Medicago truncatula: one gene and its partner. The protein of the gene in region 2 interacts with the protein of the main gene of each other region in a biochemical or structural test. Links are inferred from orthologs where the notes say so. Each region holds a gene or a part of one and is shown on either strand. Other genes may lie near its edges.

Region 1 (3,758 bases), on a different chromosome or scaffold from region 2:
TTATTTTTATATAAAGGATAATAAATATTGGCATAACATTTGTTCTTCTAGTTTTACTCTCCATTTAAAATTTCTTTTATAATTTTAGTTTTCCTTACCAATTAAAATTTTACAACTTATATAGTCTTTTATGGTGACGATGATCATAATGAATTTAAAAGACTAAACCATCAAGCTAAAATAACCGTCCATTTAATAATGAATGGAAATTTTATCAAATACCCCTACATTTATACCTTCACCCCTATATTTCATATGAACTACTGTTTTATTCTCATATATAAACTTAAAAACCTAATTTTTTTTCTTCGTTTAAAAAAAAATCATGTCAATCGAATTACAACTTATGTGTTTTCCTGTATTCTTTCTCCGTCGAAAATCATCAAGTGGTGACGGATTTGTTGCCAATTCAGATTTGTTGGCATTATGCGTTTTCTAGAAATGATTTCAAAAACCTATGCGTTTTCTGGAAACATTCCGAAAACAAGCAATAAATGTTTTCGATCTCATGGATTGTGGTAACATGAACAATATTCAATTCATTAAAAATTAAACAAACCATAAAATGTTTTCGATCTCATGGATTGTGGTTAACATGAGCAGTATTCAATTCATTAAAAAAAAAACCATAATTATATGAGATTGAATTCAATAAAATAATGGTCCTAATTGATTTGTATGAGACTCAATCCAATTCAATAAAAACAGGGCCAACATCTGTAAAAATAAACACAAGAGCGACACGTTTCCTTCTTCTTTGTCATTAAAAACCCATTAACTAAACACAAATCTCTTTGGACCAATCACTATCGATTTGTAACGCTCGTTGGTTACGGGTCCCATCATGCGTAACAGTCTACCAACGTCTACTCGTACCATCATTATTAGCTACATGTAATTTCACTATATAACATATAACAAGATCATGAACATCCTCCAAAGTACAATTTATCTAAGTCTTAACCCTCATTTTTGCTCAAATAACTAACTCGAACGTCATAGTGCTTGTCGGTACATCATCTCCTCCATTCTAAAACCCAAGCTAACACGAAACATATTGTACTAGACATTGTTCTCCTGATTAGGTGAGATCATGTCTCTTAGCATTTTAATTAATTATTAATAGGTTGCTCACATTAAATCTTGACCATAACATTTATTCTTTTAAAGGCATTTGATAAAAAGTCTAATGAAAATAATTTATCTTGATAATCGTGTATTTATTACGTTACAACTTTAAAAATTGATATCTACTTGATTAAACTCATCAATTATTTATACTTTTGTCTTCTTAACAAAGGTCTTGACACTTTCTTCAAGTTCACCATACAATCTTCACTTATTCTTGACACTAATCTCACACTTTAGTTATTCTTGACAATCTCACTAAATATTCTTAAAGTGTGTTTGGATGGAGAATATTTTAAGGTGAATTCCCTCGAAACATTACATTACCTCAAAATATTCCGCCATCCAAACACACTCTTAGTTTAGATTAGATTTAGATCGATATGATTTATAAAAATATATATTCGATGTTCACTCACGAAACTGTGTGAGAATGAAAAGAAAAACGCGTGTGAGACACTTTTCATAGAATCACAACGGCGCAGATTCCGACACTGTCCTCACCGTACACACAACTTTGTTCTCACTTTTTATTTATACCAAAAACTGCATACAAATAAATTATCACTCCCAACCACTCTTCAATTTCATCTTCTCAAACCTCTCTCACTATGTCCACCACTAACGAAGATTTTCAAGGTAGTAACTATTATTCTCTTCCTCTTTCTTTTTTTACTTTTTTCAGGGTTTGTTTTTGCAACCCAATTTTGAAAAAACAAACATATTTTTTATGCTTATTTTCACCACCAATGCTTCTATTTTATATTCTCATAATATTCTTGATCTTTGATTGTAAAAATTTGACCTTTGATTGTTTTGGATGGGTGAGTAGATGAGAAAGATTGTAACTTCAAGAGATAGATACAAAAAGTACTAATTTATTAATGAAAATTACATAACTTAACTTGTTGCAACGATTTAGGAACCCTAGGACAGAAACCCTTGATCCATCTTACAGAGTGAAATATAAAAGGAGTGGAGGGCTTTGGACGGAGGAAAAGATGAGGGATTCCCTCACTTTTTGTGGGAGGGGTTAGAATTTCTTTTTGGTCTTTAACCTTTTGGTCTGTAATTGTTTCAGTTATGATTCATACTCGGGTTTCGTGAACAATTATTTCTTAACTGGAGCTCATTAACTACTTAAGTTCAATCACTTGGTTTGAAGGGCTGGAATGAAATTAGTTATCAGTAATATTATTATTCTTATGAAAATATTATAAAGGTATGTAATTGATTTGAAAATTGACTTTAGTAAGGAGGGTTGATGATTAACGAAAGAGAGTCCAATAGTTACATATTTAGAGAGACCAACGAGAATTATGCTAAATCAGTAGGAGTAATTTATAAGTAAATAAATAGTTTATCCTTGGATAGGGTTTTGTGGCTTTATTGATTCATGTATCCGACCCAACTTTGTGAAAAAAGGCTCAATGGTTTTTGACATTGTTGCCTGAAATAGATGCATTCTAGGACCAAGATGTAAGATTTGAGAAGCAACAAGTGGCCGATTTAGGTTTTCTCTACGATTGTTTAACAACAAAAATTAAACTTTCATAGGGCAGGCAGCAATTTGATTCCTTCATTCAACACCTGACTTAATTGTTACTCAACTCATATTTGCTTTCTTTTTTAAGTGGTAGGTGTTTCAAATTGTTATGTGTTCAAGAGCCAATTGCAAGAGTATGCACAGAAAGCAGGACTTGGCACACCTGTGTATGAAACTACCAAGGAAGGGCCTTCCCATGAACCTTCTTTCAGGTCAACAGTGATTATGAATGATGTTCGTTATGATTCTTTGGCTGGATTTTTTAACCGTAAAGCAGCAGAGCAGTCAGCTGCAGAGGTTGCTTTGATGGAGTTGGCCAAAACTGGTGAAGTTAACCAGTCTATTACTCAACCTGTTGTAAGTAGTCTTTACAAATTATAATTTTTCTGTTGGTAGTAATTGAAAGTTCCGAGTGTAGCGACCGTTGCAGATTATTTTTCACATTTCTTCAGCTCATTGGGACATTTGAAGTTTTTATGTTGTGGGACAAATTCCTGTCTTTTCTACTTTCAACTTTCAAGAGTGGTTATCTTCTCGCCATCTTTATGTTGATTAGCTAATGGTTGCTTCTCTAGTGTTCTTAGTATGCAACAGTTTGGTGTACATTGTTTTGTTGATGTGATCGGTATTTCTTTCTTTTTTCTTTTTATTAAGACTTGAGAGTGTGCCGTATCTTCTTTCTGCCTTCTTACCTGTCAGCTCGTCACCAATATTATTCTTCTGAAAATAAAGATACTCTTAAATTTTCATTTGATAAATATTTCTGTTACTTGTTTATATATATATTGTCAGAAAGAAGAAAAAAAAACTTGATAGTTTATAATGAGATGAAATATAACTGTTGCATATTATATTTGAGGTTCCCTATTGGATTTTCTCTAGATATAAATGCCTTACTAAGTTCTGTATTCATATATATTACAGCTTTGCGAGTTATTGTATATTTTCTGGTTCTGATTATTTTAATGGTGTTTTCTTCCAGCATGAAACTGGATTGTGCAAGAATTTACTTCAGGAATATGCACAGAAGATGAATTATGCAATGCCATTGTATCAGAGCAAAAAGGATGACACACCACCAGGC
Region 2 (3,758 bases):
TTTGTATTTAAGTAATGTGCAAAACAATATTCAAATGCTTAATTTTTACACTGATTTAAATGTTATTCTTATTAAAATATATACACATAAGTATAATACTGCAATTATTTAAAACGTACCAAAATAATGATTGAAACATTCAAAATCAATAAATATTATTAAAGACAATATATGGTTTTTGTCAAAAAAAAAAAAAAAAGGTTTGTTATTAATGACAATTTATGGATTTTGTCAAAAAAAAAAAAAAAAAACAGGTTTGAGGTTTCCTCGGCAGTTAACTGCCGAAGTTTTCAGTTTTCCTCGGTAGTTTACTGCCGAAGTTTTCCTCGGCAGTTAACTGCAGCCGGTTTCATAATTCGGCAGTTAACTGCCGAGGGGTATTTGAGTAATTTACTCGTGTAGCATAACCAAACCAAATGTGGGAACATCAATTGTTTAAAGATGGTTGATCGGTAACTTATCTCCAAGCAACGTTAGTGGAAAACATTCATCAAATTCATTATAACTCAGCTTTGGTCGTTTCATTTGGAATCATAGTCTCAAATAAGCCAATACGATGACTTGTAGTTTACTAAAGTTTGATTCAACCATCTTAAGCTTAAAAATACAAGTTAGTATTGATTATTCCATTATATAGCTACAATTATGAATATTTTATTTTGGAGTTGGTCTAGCGAATGAAAACTTTTCAATGAAATGTTGGATTAGTAAAATATATTTAATCGATTCGCTAATTGGTTGATTAATTTTAAATTTTCTTTTGATTCTTTTAATTTGTATCATAATCGAAAATCAGTCAAGTAAGCTCTATAGACATCTTTTTGATGACATTTTCGGCGCTTCCATGCCTAAGAATGTTTGACTAATTTCCTAGTTTTCTTTTGAACCATTGACCTTCTTTTGTAAAAAAAAAAAATAATAATAATGATTAAAATGTATCTAACCTAATTTATCCCTCTAATCTAACGTTTATAAGGAGGAGGAATGCTAACAACACTCTCTCTACCGCTTATTCTTTTATTGGATGAGATCAATGTAGAACCTGCACTTTAAAAAAGAAACCCACGTTAAGTGGTGGAACATATATTGATTTCATCGGATAAAAAAAAGAATAAATGACGAAGAGAGTGTTTAAAAAGAGTGTTGCATCATTTCTCTATGCAAGGAGCGATAATTGGAGTTAGTGGATGATAAGACATATAAATATATGTATGTATGTATATAGGGCAAAGGACAGTAATGTGTGTGGAAGCGAACAAGAGCACTGAGAGAGTGAATCGGAATGAATTGAATTGAATAGAATAGAATAGGCGTTGATACACAGCAATAGGGTTTGTTCTTTCTCTTCTCTTCAATCAATCAATCTTATTATTTATTTATTATGGAGGATGATGCCGATGCCGCTGCTGCCGCCGCTGCCGTGAATAACAACAATAGGGTTTCTTCGTCAAATCCTTACTGGCTGGATGCCTGTGAAGATATTTCTATATCTTGTGATGATATCATTGATTTTGATGTTTCTAATGATTCTGACCAACAACCCAACAACAACAACCAAGACTTTTTTGGTGGTATTGATCGAATCTTTGACAGCATCAAAAACGGCGCTGGTCTCCCTGATCATCCTCCTGCTTCTGCTGCTGATGATGGGAATCAACTACCTCCTACTCATCTTCAACTAGAAGAACAACACCAACAGGTAGAAGAAGAAGAACAAGAACAAGAAAGGTTCAACAAAAGGGCTCGCCTCACCGAAGGAGAAAGGAGAATCAATCATCAACCCAACAACAACAACAAGGACAGGTATGAGAGGTGTTTCAACAATAATAGGAAGAGACCAAGGAATAATAATAATCATAATCATTCCTTTAAAAGAGATGTCAAGGGTTATTGGGAGAGGGATAAGTCTTCTAATGACTTGGTCTTTCGCTCCGGAACTTGGGAACCCAATCTTCATACTTCCCAACACAAAATGGACATAGACAACCCCATCAAACAGGAAAAACCCAAGGAGACTGTTCCTGTTCCTGAGGAAAAAGCCAGACAGTATCAGTTGGATGTTCTTGAGCAGGCAAAGACCAGAAATACAATAGCTTTTCTAGAAACTGGAGCTGGCAAAACCCTCATTGCCGTTCTTCTCATCAAGTCTATACATGAGACATTACATCTCCAAAATAAGAAAATGCTTGCTGTGTTTTTGGTTCCAAAAGTTCCACTTGTTTACCAGGTAAATGCTTTTGCTTAGAGACACTAATATAAGTGCATTGCAATTACTTGTCCATTCATCTTGTTCCTAATTCCCTGTCTCATTACAGCAAGCTGAGGTAATCCGTGAGCGCACTGGATATCAAGTGGGGCACTATTGTGGAGAAATGGGGCAGGATTTCTGGGATGCTCGAAGGTGGCAGCGTGAATTTGACACCAAGCATGTATGTCTTCAATTTTCTATTTAAGATCACTCTTTTTATTAAACTTGTAAGTTTTTCCAGGACGATTGATCTGGCATGGCCTTTTGTGTTATTTTTCATGTGTTACGCATATGATATATGCTTTGTGAATACTCCTATGCCACAACTTGGGATTGGCCCCTTGGGTGTCTCCAAGACACAATTTATCCTAAAAACTAGAGATGTGTGCTTATTGGCTTGTTTTTCGGCATCTTTTAGTTTGTTCCTATTGTTTCACTTAAAAGGCTGTACAAGTGAAATGCTAAAATCATATTCATACATAAAAGACACGACTCTACCAGTTTAAAGATTTTTTTTTTATTGATTTCCCTGACCTTGTTGCTGTTCTTCATCCTCGACCTTGCATGTTTACGACTTTTTGTACTTCAATTTCTCAATTTGTTATTCTTGCTGTAGGTTTTAGTCATGACCGCTCAAATACTTTTGAACATTTTGAGGCATAGCATCATAAAAATGGAAGCAATCAATCTCCTGATTCTTGATGAGTGCCATCATGCTGTGAAGAAACACCCATATTCGCTGGTGATGTCTGAGTTCTACCATACAACGCCCAAAGAAAAGAGGCCATCTGTATTTGGAATGACTGCTTCTCCTGTTAACTTAAAGGGTAATTATGAAGTTGCTCAACTGAAGTTGGGTTCCTATACTGTCACTCTATTTTTTTTCATACCATGATTTGCTTGGGGATTGAATCCCTAATTCGTCAAATTTTTACTCTTTTAGTATATGTGATCAACATTATTTGTGTTAATGGTATATTCAGGTGTTTCCAGCCAAGTAGACTGTGCAATAAAAATTCGTAATCTTGAAAGTAAGCTAGATTCAATAGTTTGTACCATTAAAGATCGTAAAGAGCTAGAGAAACACGTGCCTATGCCCTCTGAGATTGTGGTGAAGTATGATAAAGCGGCCAGTCTATGTTATTTACATGAGCAAATAAAGCAGATGGAGACTGAAGTTGAGGAAGCTGCAAAATCTAGTTCAAGAAGAAGCAAATGGCAGTTTATGGGAGCTAGAGATGCTGGAGCTAAGGAAGAGCTGCGCCAAGTATATGGTGTTTCTGAAAGAACAGAAAGTGATGGAGCTGCAAACCTAATTCAGAAGTTGAGAGCTGTTAATTATGCACTTGGTGAATTGGGACAGTGGTGTGCATATAAGGTACATACTATTTCATGGAGGAATGAGGAATCATGAATTTATTTCATAGCTATCATTATAATATCTCTTTCTTTTTCAGGTTGCACAATCTTTTCTTGCAGCTCTGCAAAATGATGAAAGGGCAAACTATCA

The links.
Region 1: the proteins of endoribonuclease Dicer homolog 1 (region 2) and double-stranded RNA-binding protein 1 form a complex in vitro, tested with the Arabidopsis thaliana proteins (4 studies listed by BioGRID, with this or other methods). The link is inferred for Medicago truncatula from reciprocal best matches to the Arabidopsis thaliana genes DCL1 and HYL1.

The regions. Positions count from the first base shown.
Region 1 is NC_053044.1:49,452,240-49,455,997, reverse strand, and holds the start of double-stranded RNA-binding protein 1, read left to right. Parts: upstream 1-1,552; 5' UTR 1,553-1,739; coding exon 1,740-1,767; intron 1,768-2,762; coding exon 2,763-3,031; intron 3,032-3,656; coding exon 3,657-3,758. UniProt on the Arabidopsis thaliana protein: Double-stranded RNA-binding protein involved in RNA-mediated post-transcriptional gene silencing (PTGS).
Region 2 is NC_053048.1:55,964,546-55,968,303, reverse strand, and holds the start of endoribonuclease Dicer homolog 1, read left to right. Parts: upstream 1-1,172; 5' UTR 1,173-1,381; coding exon 1,382-2,227; intron 2,228-2,315; coding exon 2,316-2,429; intron 2,430-2,864; coding exon 2,865-3,075; intron 3,076-3,231; coding exon 3,232-3,626; intron 3,627-3,705; coding exon 3,706-3,758. UniProt on the Arabidopsis thaliana protein: Ribonuclease (RNase) III involved in RNA-mediated post-transcriptional gene silencing (PTGS). Functions in the microRNAs (miRNAs) biogenesis pathway by cleaving primary miRNAs (pri-miRNAs) and precursor miRNAs (pre-miRNAs).